Rattus norvegicus: one gene and its partners. The protein of the gene in region 3 binds, or shares a complex with, the protein of the main gene of each other region. Links are inferred from orthologs where the notes say so. Each region holds a gene or a part of one and is shown on either strand. Other genes may lie near its edges.

Region 1 (3,340 bases), on a different chromosome or scaffold from region 3:
GAAGTGATTCAGCAGCAGTTTTATGCAGGGTAGCTTGTTTAGTGGAAACTAGTTTGCTATAGTAAGTAAGTATAAGACCAAGTTAGTCATTTCTTTGTAATATGGAGTGGTGTTCCCTTCTCACTTGACTTTTATGCCTCTGAAATCCACTGTGGCCCCCAAATATGGGTCACATATTGACAGCTTGGCTTAGACTACTAGTACTTTGTCCAGAGCAGCACAGTTTAATTCCTAAAGATAGGGTCTTATACTGTAGTCCAGGCTGGCATTAAATTTGCAGCAATATTCCTACACAGTGGAATTACCACACTCAGATAACTGCCCTTGAGGAAATGGGCTTTTCCCATCTGATACTGTTGTAATGGCTAACAGCTCTGAGTGAATTTAACATGAAGCTGAGCTCATGTGCAGGTAACTTGTACTTTTTTTTTCCCCCCAGAGCTGGGGACCGAACCCAGGACCTTGCGCTCTACCACTGAGCTAAATCCCCAACCCCAACTTGTACTTCTTAAGGGATTTTTCATAGGTATTTGGATAGTGTAGGTTCTATCACTGAACCACAGCTCCAGGCCTATTAAAGAACATAGTTTAATCCACTGCAGCAATAGGCAGAGACAACACTCTTGACACTGATTAAGTATTTATTGAGACATAAAGTACAAACTGGTGACATACAAATATTAAAAATAGAATGTTTTGTTTATTATACGTGAGCCATTAGATACTGTTTGCAGGGCAAGTCCTACTATAGTGAACTACAAGGAAACCTACGCATACCAGCCAGGCACGAGTCAGGACTTTGGTCTTTGGTTATGCAAATGGAGGATGACAAGGAGCTGAACCAGTACCTGTCGAGAGTTTAGGAATACTGTTAATCTAGGCATTGTCCTCAAAGAGATAATGAAAGTTTAATGCCCCATCTTCCTTCAGAAACCCAAATTGCAAATGCAAAATTTCAACTCCTTTCTCCTCCTTGCCAGAAACAGACGTGTACTACAGTGAAACAGTCACTGGTCAGGCATGGCAATGGAGTACGTGCTTTGTAGGCAGGAGCAAGCAGTGAACACTGAAGGGGCATGTGTTTGTTACGGTCACGAAGAATACTCAGTAAGGCTGCTCATCGTGCTGTTACCCAGAGTGTAGAATATCCTACTTCAGAACACACTCAGCGGTGAGTACTGAGACTCAGTGCCTTAATCACGTGCCAGCTATTTAAACTAAATGGCAATGCGGCAGCAAGACTCCAGTCCTGATGTTTCGGGTTAGGGCATGCTCATGAAGAATGTCTTCATTTCTCAACTTCATTTTGCCCTTTTAGGATACAGCTTCAGCATGAGAATTACACTTTGACACAGGAAATTAGTATTTCTGTAAATTCTTCATTCACATGCTCCATTACATAACCCTATGAGGAAAAAAGTGCCAGATTCCCTTTCTCCTTACACCAGATTGAGGTGCTATTGTGGAGGCAAAGCAATACTTTATTACATCCTATATGGCACAGCTTGAATCCACAGCTGGATCTAAAGAACTTGTCTAGCAAACTGCAGTATTTATAACAAATTTAACTACTTATTTTACTGTATAAATAAAAATATCCTCAGTGAAAACTACAATAATTGGAGTAGAAACAATAATCAGTACTCCAGAGCTGTGTGGGTGAAGCGCATTTCAACTTGAATTGTGTCAGTGCAGGTTCAGTGGCAGGCGTTCGCAGCAGCTTCCTGATTTGTAGTGTGGAGTAAGAAGAGCTTTTTAAAGTCTTGCCAGAGCCACAAGTACATGCTCTATGTACTGCTCTTGACAAATAGTAGGCTTCCTGTGAAGTTTTATTTAAATAAAATTATTTACCAGAAGAAACCATGGTTGATGAACAATGAGCTATTAGGAGATATTTAAAAGTTATCTAGACATTAAATGCATTTTCACAGTTTTAAATGTCAAAAAAAAAAAGCTCACTTAAGATTGATATAACAACACATGGCATGCTCTTGCTGTTTAAAACCCAGGAACAAAGACTGCTCTCTTGTGCAATACAATTTAGTGTTTTTTGGGAAAATCAGATGCAACAATGAGTAAGAAGTAAAGTTTTAAACTAACATTTGGTACAGCTAGCTGACTGTGACATAACAAAAGCACACAGACATAAACCCAATTGTTTCTCCAACAGAGAGCAAAGTACAATGATACTACAACCAAGATGAGCTCAAAGAAGCTAAAGTCCACAGATGATGAAACAACAGTTCATAATGGGAACCTGGTAGTATTTAAGTTAGTCACAAAATACACTCTAACACCTGATGTTTTACAGTTATGGCACTGTAGAGAACATAGCAGTGCATTAGGGATTTGCTGTACATAGAGAATCTACAGGTACATTCAGAACGCTGGAGAACACACACTGGGAATGTTCGATGGATATTCCTCCCACGTATTTATGGTTGGATTTTAGGGTATGTGAATTTACAATGAACCCCTCCCCCCCAGAAGGCAATCACTAACTTACCTTTTTAAAATATCAATGATATATGACTCAGTACATTTTCATCATCATGAAAATCTTGCCTCCAAATACATAAGCAGTAAGAAACTGAAATATCCCGCCACTACTGCACCAAACTAGACTATCCTGGAAGTGTGGGATGAGGGACTCCTAGGTCTTCCTCACGTTCCCTCTTCTCCCAGGGAGTAAGTGGGTTATTGAGTTGATGCTCTTTCTCAATGCTCATAAGCAGCAGGGTCTGTAAGAAGAGTTGAGGGAGTTCTGCAGGTGTTTATAAAACACAATTGGATATTTCTCAATCACGCTAGGATAAGCCAAAATTTAAAGTTTGATTTAGAGAATTTAAAGCTGAAAATGCTTCCAGCAAATTTTGGTTATCTTAAATGTTAAAGTATGTATTTACCTATATATTGATTATGAAACTTTTGTTGTCCTATAAATATTTAACACTTGAATTTAATAGTTTTTCCTTCCGGAAAAGTTCCTTGACATTTAAGTACAGTCAACACTTTCAGAACAGTCCCCTGCACCACACCAGAGTGACTGCTTTAATTTTTAAATCATCAGCTAATGTAACGCAGAGATAATGTTGGCCTTGATACATAATTTAGTCTTGTCATTATTCCTAAGAGTGGAATTCAGGGTTTTGGGGCATCATCTGACCCCATTTCTTTTTACCACAATGGTTCCTGCTACAATGTCATAGGCTGTTCGATTATGCTGAAAAAACAGCAATGTGATGAAAGCAGGGAAAAAAGAAGCAATAGAAAAATTCTTGATCAAAGCTCGAATGGTGGACCTAAAGGAAACAAGCAGAAGCAGCAAGTCAGATGTCTA
Region 2 (3,655 bases), on a different chromosome or scaffold from region 3:
ACTCTACACCAAAGGCCTTTGGCAGCCTCCTCCCAAGGACAGCCTAGCTGTGCTAGTGCGCTGCTGTGGACGAACATCTTTTCACAAAGTGCTACCCCTCAGGTCAGATAAAAGTTAGATGGGACAAGATGGAGACTGAGACGCCATGGCCGTTCTCAGATAAGTAGAGGAAGCATGTTTCAACAAAATTATCCCTGAAACCAGACTGCAATAGCCGAAACAAGATAAGGTTACCAAAAAGAAAAACAAGGCAATAAAAAGGTCTGTGTGTGTGTGTGTGTGTGTGTGTCTGTGTGTGTGTGTGTCTGTGTCTGTGTGTGTGTGTGTCTGTGTGTGTGTGTGTCTGTGTCTGTGTGTGTGTGTGTCTGTGTCTGTGTGTGTGTGTCTGTGTCTGTGTGTGTGTGTGTCTGTGTGTGTGTGTGTGTGTGCCTGTGTCTGTGTGTGTGTGTGTCTGTGTCTGTGTGTGTGTGTGTCTGTGTCTGTGTGTGTGTGTGTCTGTGTCTGTGTGTGTGTGTCTGTGTCTGTGTGTGTGTGTGTGTCTGTGTCTGTGTCTGTGTGTGTGTCTGTGTGTGTGTGTGTGTGTCTGTGTCTGTGTGTGTGTGTGTGTGTGTCTGTGTGTGGTGTGGGTGTGTTACAATTTTCTTGGTTAGGAGAAAATTAAACATAAATAAGGGAAGAAAAGTTTAGCAATTAAAAGAGTTAGATATTAATAGTATTTCACATGAAAATAAAACAAACAAGAAATTCTGAGGGGTTGGGGATTTAGCTCAGTGGTAGAGCGCTTGCCTAGCAAGCACAGGGCCCTGGGTTCGGTCCCCAGCTCCGAAAAAAAAGAAAAAAAAAAAAAAAAAAGAAATTCTGAGATAGAAACAGAAATAACATTTATTAAGGTTTCTGTAGCAGGCCCTATCCTAAGAGCTATATACAGATACTGAATAATTTTACTGTCACCCAGTGAGACAGACATCACAGTTCATCATAAATTTGAGGGACTTAGGAAAAGAAAGTGAGGAGGATGGGAAAGAGGTGATGTGACTGAGCTGCTCCAACTGTCCCCCATGTGCCAGGCAGCACACCCAGCATCCTCACACAGGCACTCACTGAGTCCTCACACCGGTGCTACAAACATAAGCATTCGCTAGGATCACCAGTACCTCACAGACGAATCAGCTTCCTCAGAATTATTCTGAGGGAAAAATATTGTACTTCTATGGTCTAGGCTCTGAAGGAAAAAATAGAATAATGTTGTACTTCATTTTTTTATGACTGGAAAAGTTAACCTGCAAGCATTGTAAAGCCGAGAGCTCTTACCGTCAGCAGAATAATGCTGGGTGGTTTCATGGGGTACTCTGGTGGCAGTACTATGCGTCCATGATAAACTCCTCCATCAAAATCGGAATCTGGGGGCCCTCTAACTGTGAAGTGCCATTCAAAAAGGTTATCCTAAACAAAATCAAGAATCCAGAGAATCAAGAACATTTAAAAATATTATCATTTTTATCAATAGTAACATTAAAAATGCCAGGTGAGGAAAATCAAAAGCTTTCTAATAGTGCTATAATAGTTTCTAGTGCTCAAAATGCCTCAAAAGTCACAAGTAAAATGTATTATTTATTTATTTGTTTACTTATTTACTTATTATCTGTAAGTACACTGAGACACCAGAAGAGGGCGTCAGATCTCATTACAGATGGTTATGAGCCACCATGTGGTTGCTGGGATTTGAACTCAGGACCTCTGGTAGGGCAGTCAGTGCTCCTAACCACTGAGCCATCTCTCCAGCCCCTAAAATGTATTATTTAATGTAAATTTTATGTCTTATAAAAGCTAAAAACTTTTTAAATAATTTAAAGTGTCTGAGTCCTATTATACACTCATAAATAAGATTAATTTAATTAACTATCAATTAGTGAAAATATGGTCAAATCATTAGTATAAATTTGAGTTATTTTAACAAACCTTTAAAAAGTATTCTCCAGTATGTATAACTGGTTAGTAATATTAACAGACTAGCTATATGTCCTTACAGGGTTAACAAGTTACCATTCTAAGTGCAAAGTTCTTATTCACTGTAACGTGTGTACTTCACGATCACTGTGGAAATCTGAGCATGCCCACTGGCATCCTCCTTTCACAGATGAAAACACAAGAGCCAGGACAGCTGCAGGGACCCCTGAAGGATCGGTCTTCTTACTATACAGTGTCTGCGATTCTGTCTGCTCCGCTTGCTCCCTCCCTCCCTCAGCACTGAACACCAGGTTAGCATCTGAAACCCTCTGACAGAGTCCCTGAGTCAGCACTGCCTAAGGAGTCTGATGAAAGGCTAATGAAACACTCAGGAAACAGAAAAGGTACATCAATAAACAAGCACACCATTAACTACGCAAGCAAAGGAAACGCAGCTCTAAGGCTATCCTGATACCGCAGGGCTGCCGTCCTGAGGAGGACGGAGACAAACTAACCTCCAGAGGCTGAGCGTGGTAATGATCTGTTGGATCTTTCAATTCTGCGGCTTCTTTCATCAATCGTTTAACAGCTAAAAGAAAACCCATGAAGTGGAGATCGTTAGAATATACTTTTTTAAGTGATCCGCAAAGACTAATAAAAAAAACTTCTAGCCAGGAATGATGGCACGCACCTTTAATCCCAGCTCTGAGGGGGCAGAGGCAGGTGATCTCTGAGTTCGAGGCCAGCCTGGAACACAGAGAGTAGGCAGAAAGAAGAAAACAAAGGGTTAGGTACAAGCTCTTGAAATCAAGTAGTTTAAAAATCAAGCAGACAAAAAGCAGGTAGCCTACAGACCTTAGCGAGGCATTTCTCAATTAAGGCTCCTTCCTCCCTGACGATTTCATGTCAGGTTGACATAAAATCAGCCAGTACAAAAAATTTTTTTAAAGGACTGAAATCTTCTTGCATTACTTTTCCTGTTGCTGTAATAAATACCCTGACTAAAGCATCTCAAAGATGGTCCATCCTCACCCACAATTCCTCATGGTGGGAAATCATGCAAAGCTAGCAGATCACACATATGCAGAGTTGGAAACACAGAGATGAGTGCAGTACTCAGTCCATGTTGCCCTTTTCTATCAGTCTACAACTTCAGGCCATGAATAATGCTTCCCACAGCTAAGATTACTTTAATCTCACACTGGAAATACTCAGAGGCTCATCTCCTGGGTGATTCCTAGTACTCACGTGGAGGATCACAATCTAGTTCCAGGGATCCAATGCCCTTTTCTGACATCAATGAACACTAAGCTCACATAGTACACACACACATATTCAAACAAAACATTCCTACACATAAAAATAAAAACAAACAACTAAAGCAAAATGAACAAACAATACATATTTGAAGAATATCGGAGTGGAGACAGAAAAAGAATAACTTCCTGCCTTAACAAGCTTACAGCAATTAGAAGACTTGAAAAAACTTAAAGGCATTGTGACAGTATGGACCAGGTGTGAAGGACTACCTACAGGAGCTGAGAAGGCTGGACCGAATAGAAGCTAGAAGAGGGAACAGGGATTCCAGCCAGGCTCAGTGGAAAGCTCTCCAACAGAGGACCCAACAGAGATGGAGACATACCATTGCAGAGTGGCTCTGCTGGAAATGCCTAAGAGAGGCAGAAGGAGCTGGAAAGGAAAGCAAGGG
Region 3 (3,655 bases):
ACTTGGTGTAGGGCCAAAAGCTCCTGAAGCAGCAGTGGCAGCCAAGCTAAAAGACAAACAGGCAGACGCGGCTGAAGGCAGGGCGTCGTGGAGACCGGGCTCTCTCCGCAAGCTAGGCAGCACTAAACATCACATCTATAAAACGTCTTTTTCTGAGGAGAGCTCTATGGCAAAGCTTATCCGGAACTAATTCTACATCAATACCCAAGTCTTGAAGCTGCTATCATTTCCACCCTACTACATCCAGGACCACAAAGAACAGGGCTCCAGGAGTCAGGAAGACACACCCATCTCTCCATTTGGCACTGTACAGCCATGATGGGATTTCTCTCCATCCCCCACCCACAGCCGGAGTAAGACTCACTATTGCATGTAGTACTGTCTTGCATAGATCTGCTGGAACCAGGAGAGCTGCAGCCACCCGTAGGTGGTGTAGCCAGAGAAGCCGGGCCCGAGGCCTTGGAAAGTCTGCTGGACGGCTTCAGGCCTATACGCAGGGTCAAACGAAAGAGCACTTTGAGTTGGTTGGGAACGACGACCTTGATACTAAATTACAATCAGCAATAATAAATAGTTAAAGAGACAGGACAGACAACACAATAGTCAACTCTACGATGTGTCCTATATGTTGAGGACAGCAGCACCGTGGCTCATCAGATCCCATGGGAAACATGAGCTCCGTCCGGCCCTGGCAGGGGGAGGCTGCGTGCTTTCTGCACAGCTGTGCTGACAGGCTAATGCTTTCCCTCTCAAGCCTCACTCGGGGTTAAATCCACGGATCGTGCTTTAGAGGGGAGTGCTCAAACCACATTGCCAAGTCCATCCTGAAAGAACTCTGTCGTGCCCCGACCCCAGGTAAAAATCCACACTGTGGCAGTTCTGAGTGCCGTGACAACCCTCCCTGTGTTTGCAGCTCATCTGGTCCCTCACACAGGTTGTTGCAGGAGCTCAGAAGCCAAAGGAGCAGGCTGGACTCTTGGACACATTTGTGCCGTGCCAGACCCGCTTCTTCAGGCAAGGAACAGCCTTCGCTTGCCGGGAGCAGGCAATGAGAAGCTAAGGGCTGTGCCCTCTCCCTCCCGCTCCCCTTTCTCTGTGCAGCCCTGGCTGTCCTGGACTCCATCTGTAGACCAGACTGGCCTCCAACTCAGAGATCTGCCTGCCTCTGCCTCCTGGATTCTAGGACTAAAGCGTACGCACCCACTGCCTGGCAGGCTGCGCAAGTCTTAATCAATTAGGACAGGTCAGAGGAGGACATGAGAAGGAGGAAGCCCCACAGTCTAGAACCTGTTACATTCCTTACCAGTTAGGAACCAAGAAACCTCGATACGACTGATAAAATACAAACCGCATAGAAATAAATGCTTCTGCTCCTAAAAAGACATCACAGTAAGGATGTCCAGAACAATAAACCATCTTGTGTTGGGCCAGAATGTTCCTGACCTGAGGTTTAAGTTATTATAATACTTATTCCTTCTTATCCCTGAATCAAATGATGCGCCTCAAAAACTTATTTCATTTATGGAAGTAAAGTCTCCAAGAGGAAAAAATAAAACAACTTGTTTATTTGCATTTGATCGTTAAGCTCTGCCTCACCTTTATCCTCAGATCTCATCACAGATTATAGCTTTTCAACACTGTAGCTTAACGCCACAGGGACAGGACTGGTCAACTGGGTCCATTTACGGGTTAAACAACCCGTGTTTTTGCCTCATATACCTACTTTTAAAAATATACCTCAAGAGACTAATATTAAAAAATCCACGAGGTCTTTAGACTGAAGCCATCTTGTACGTCCTGAAGTTCACATTGTACCAATTCGTTTTTCAAGACAGGGTTTCTTGGTGTAGCCCTGCATGTCCTGGAACTTGATCTGTAGACCAGGGTGGCCTCCAACACAGAGATCTGCCTGCCTCTGCCTCCTGAGGGCTGGGATCAAAGGCATGCGCCAGGATGCCCAGCTTAAACACACCTTATTTTTCAATTGACACAAATGAAGTACGACTGTTTTCTGCATGGACACTCACCTAGAGACGTTCTCCCATCCAGAGGGAGGAAGGTTCCGAAGGACTTCCCTTTCCCGTAAGCCATCGCTTGAGGAATCCCCAGGATACTGTGCCTGACTAGTGTTGTCCGGCTGCTCTGTGGACTCAGCACCCTAAAGCGAGTAACACAAATGTCAGAACAAAGGGCCCGATGCAACTGTTGGCAATCAGGCTAATTATTTTGCCACCAAGTGACTGATGTCCCTGTCCCCGCCCCTCAGCCTGACAAAATTAAGTGCAATGTCATAGGAAGATTCTGAATTTGTTCATTGCAACAATTGTGAACACACAGAAGCTAGAGCTGAGGAAAGGTAGCTCAGTGGTAGACCTCTCCCTTGCCTGCATGAGGCCCTGGGTTCGAGCCCCAGCAAAAACTCTCTATACGGACACCAATACACACACACACATACACACATGCAAAATAAAAAGGATAATCCATGTTTTTCTCTAAGAATAACTACGGTTGTCACAGGAAAATATTGTGACTACAGCTACCACTACTGAGAAAGCTTCCCACTAATGCTAACATGTATGTTGTGGAACCCAGTAGGTCTAGAAATCAAATGTGACACATAACTAGGCAGCAACGTAAAGGAAAGAGAATTCCCGTGTGACACTCAGAAGTTGCAGGAAATACAAGTGAACTACAAATGTAAGTCAAGTACCACTCTAGAAGGGGTGTAGTGTTCACATAAGCAGATGTTGTCGAGAGGAAGAGCAAATGTGTTTCACTGTCAAACCAAAGTCTTTAGAGATCATGTAATGAAGACTGTGGTCTATTCCTACCCAAGTAATCATGACAGAAATTTCCATAGGAAATATGTTTATGGCTCTACTCTTTATAAAATTAATATTCCTAGCCAGGTGGTTGTGACACATGCTTTTAACCTCAGCACTCAGGAGGCAGACGCCAGGCAGGACTTTGGGAGTTTGAGGTCAACCTGATCTGCAGAGTGAGTTCCAGGACAGCTGGGGGTACATAGAGAGACCTACACAGAGAGACCCTGTCTTGAAAATAAATAAATAAAGTCCCTTAGAGAAACGTGTTCATTTCTGTAAACACCACTTTCATCTGCCATCCTGGGCAAACGGTGACCTCAGGTCAAAGGCGTGACTTTGCTTTTGCACACGGCATGCATATGGCAGTCTGCTTTCTACTATGCCCAGTGGTAAGCACTGAGGGTTACCACTCAGCCCTCGCTCTACTGAGAACACAGCCTCTAAGTTCTGGCATGCCTTGGGGGAAACACCATAACATCTTTTTTTTTTTTTTTCCGGAGCTGGGGACCGAACCCAGGGCCTTGCGCTTCCTAGGCAAGCGCTCTACCACTGAGCTAAATCCCCAACCCCAACACCATAACATCTTAAGTTTCACTCAACTTCCTTTCTCCCTCCCTTGGGAATCAGAGACACAGGTAGCTGTTATCATGAAAAGGCACCATACCTTTGTGCTGGCTTCTGGCTTTTTTGAGGGACTCCTCACATTGCACACGAGGTGCAAAACATGTCGCTTTTCCTGCTGAATGGAACAAGAGACACTTCAGGACCTGAATTCCAACTGCCAGAGCTTGACCACACCCCAAGGCAAGAGCTAAGGATGACAGATACCT

What was found.
Region 1: Herpud1 (region 3) and Fam8a1 share a complex: the UniProt entries of both Homo sapiens proteins name them as parts of the HRD1 complex. The link is inferred for Rattus norvegicus from reciprocal best matches to the Homo sapiens genes HERPUD1 and FAM8A1.
Region 2: Herpud1 (region 3) and Ube2j1 share a complex: the UniProt entries of both Homo sapiens proteins name them as parts of the HRD1 complex. The link is inferred for Rattus norvegicus from reciprocal best matches to the Homo sapiens genes HERPUD1 and UBE2J1.

Annotation. Positions count from the first base shown.
Region 1 is NC_086035.1:18,232,213-18,235,552, forward strand, and holds the end of Fam8a1 (protein FAM8A1), read right to left. Parts: intron 3,303-3,340; coding exon 3,158-3,302; 3' UTR 622-3,157; downstream 1-621. UniProt on the Homo sapiens protein: Plays a role in the assembly of the HRD1 complex, a complex involved in the ubiquitin-proteasome-dependent process of ER-associated degradation (ERAD).
Region 2 is NC_086023.1:52,221,773-52,225,427, reverse strand, and holds part of Ube2j1 (ubiquitin-conjugating enzyme E2 J1), read right to left. Parts: intron 2,695-3,655; exon of another isoform or gene 2,639-2,694; intron 2,537-2,638; coding exon 2,463-2,536; intron 1,444-2,462; coding exon 1,312-1,443; intron 1-1,311. UniProt on the Homo sapiens protein: Catalyzes the covalent attachment of ubiquitin to other proteins. Functions in the selective degradation of misfolded membrane proteins from the endoplasmic reticulum (ERAD) and is essential for cells to recover from ER stress.
Region 3 is NC_086037.1:10,608,063-10,611,717, forward strand, and holds part of Herpud1 (homocysteine-responsive endoplasmic reticulum-resident ubiquitin-like domain member 1 protein), read right to left. Parts: coding exon 3,654-3,655; intron 3,565-3,653; coding exon 3,490-3,564; intron 2,159-3,489; coding exon 2,028-2,158; intron 488-2,027; coding exon 365-487; intron 47-364; coding exon 1-46. UniProt on the Homo sapiens protein: Component of the endoplasmic reticulum quality control (ERQC) system also called ER-associated degradation (ERAD) involved in ubiquitin-dependent degradation of misfolded endoplasmic reticulum proteins.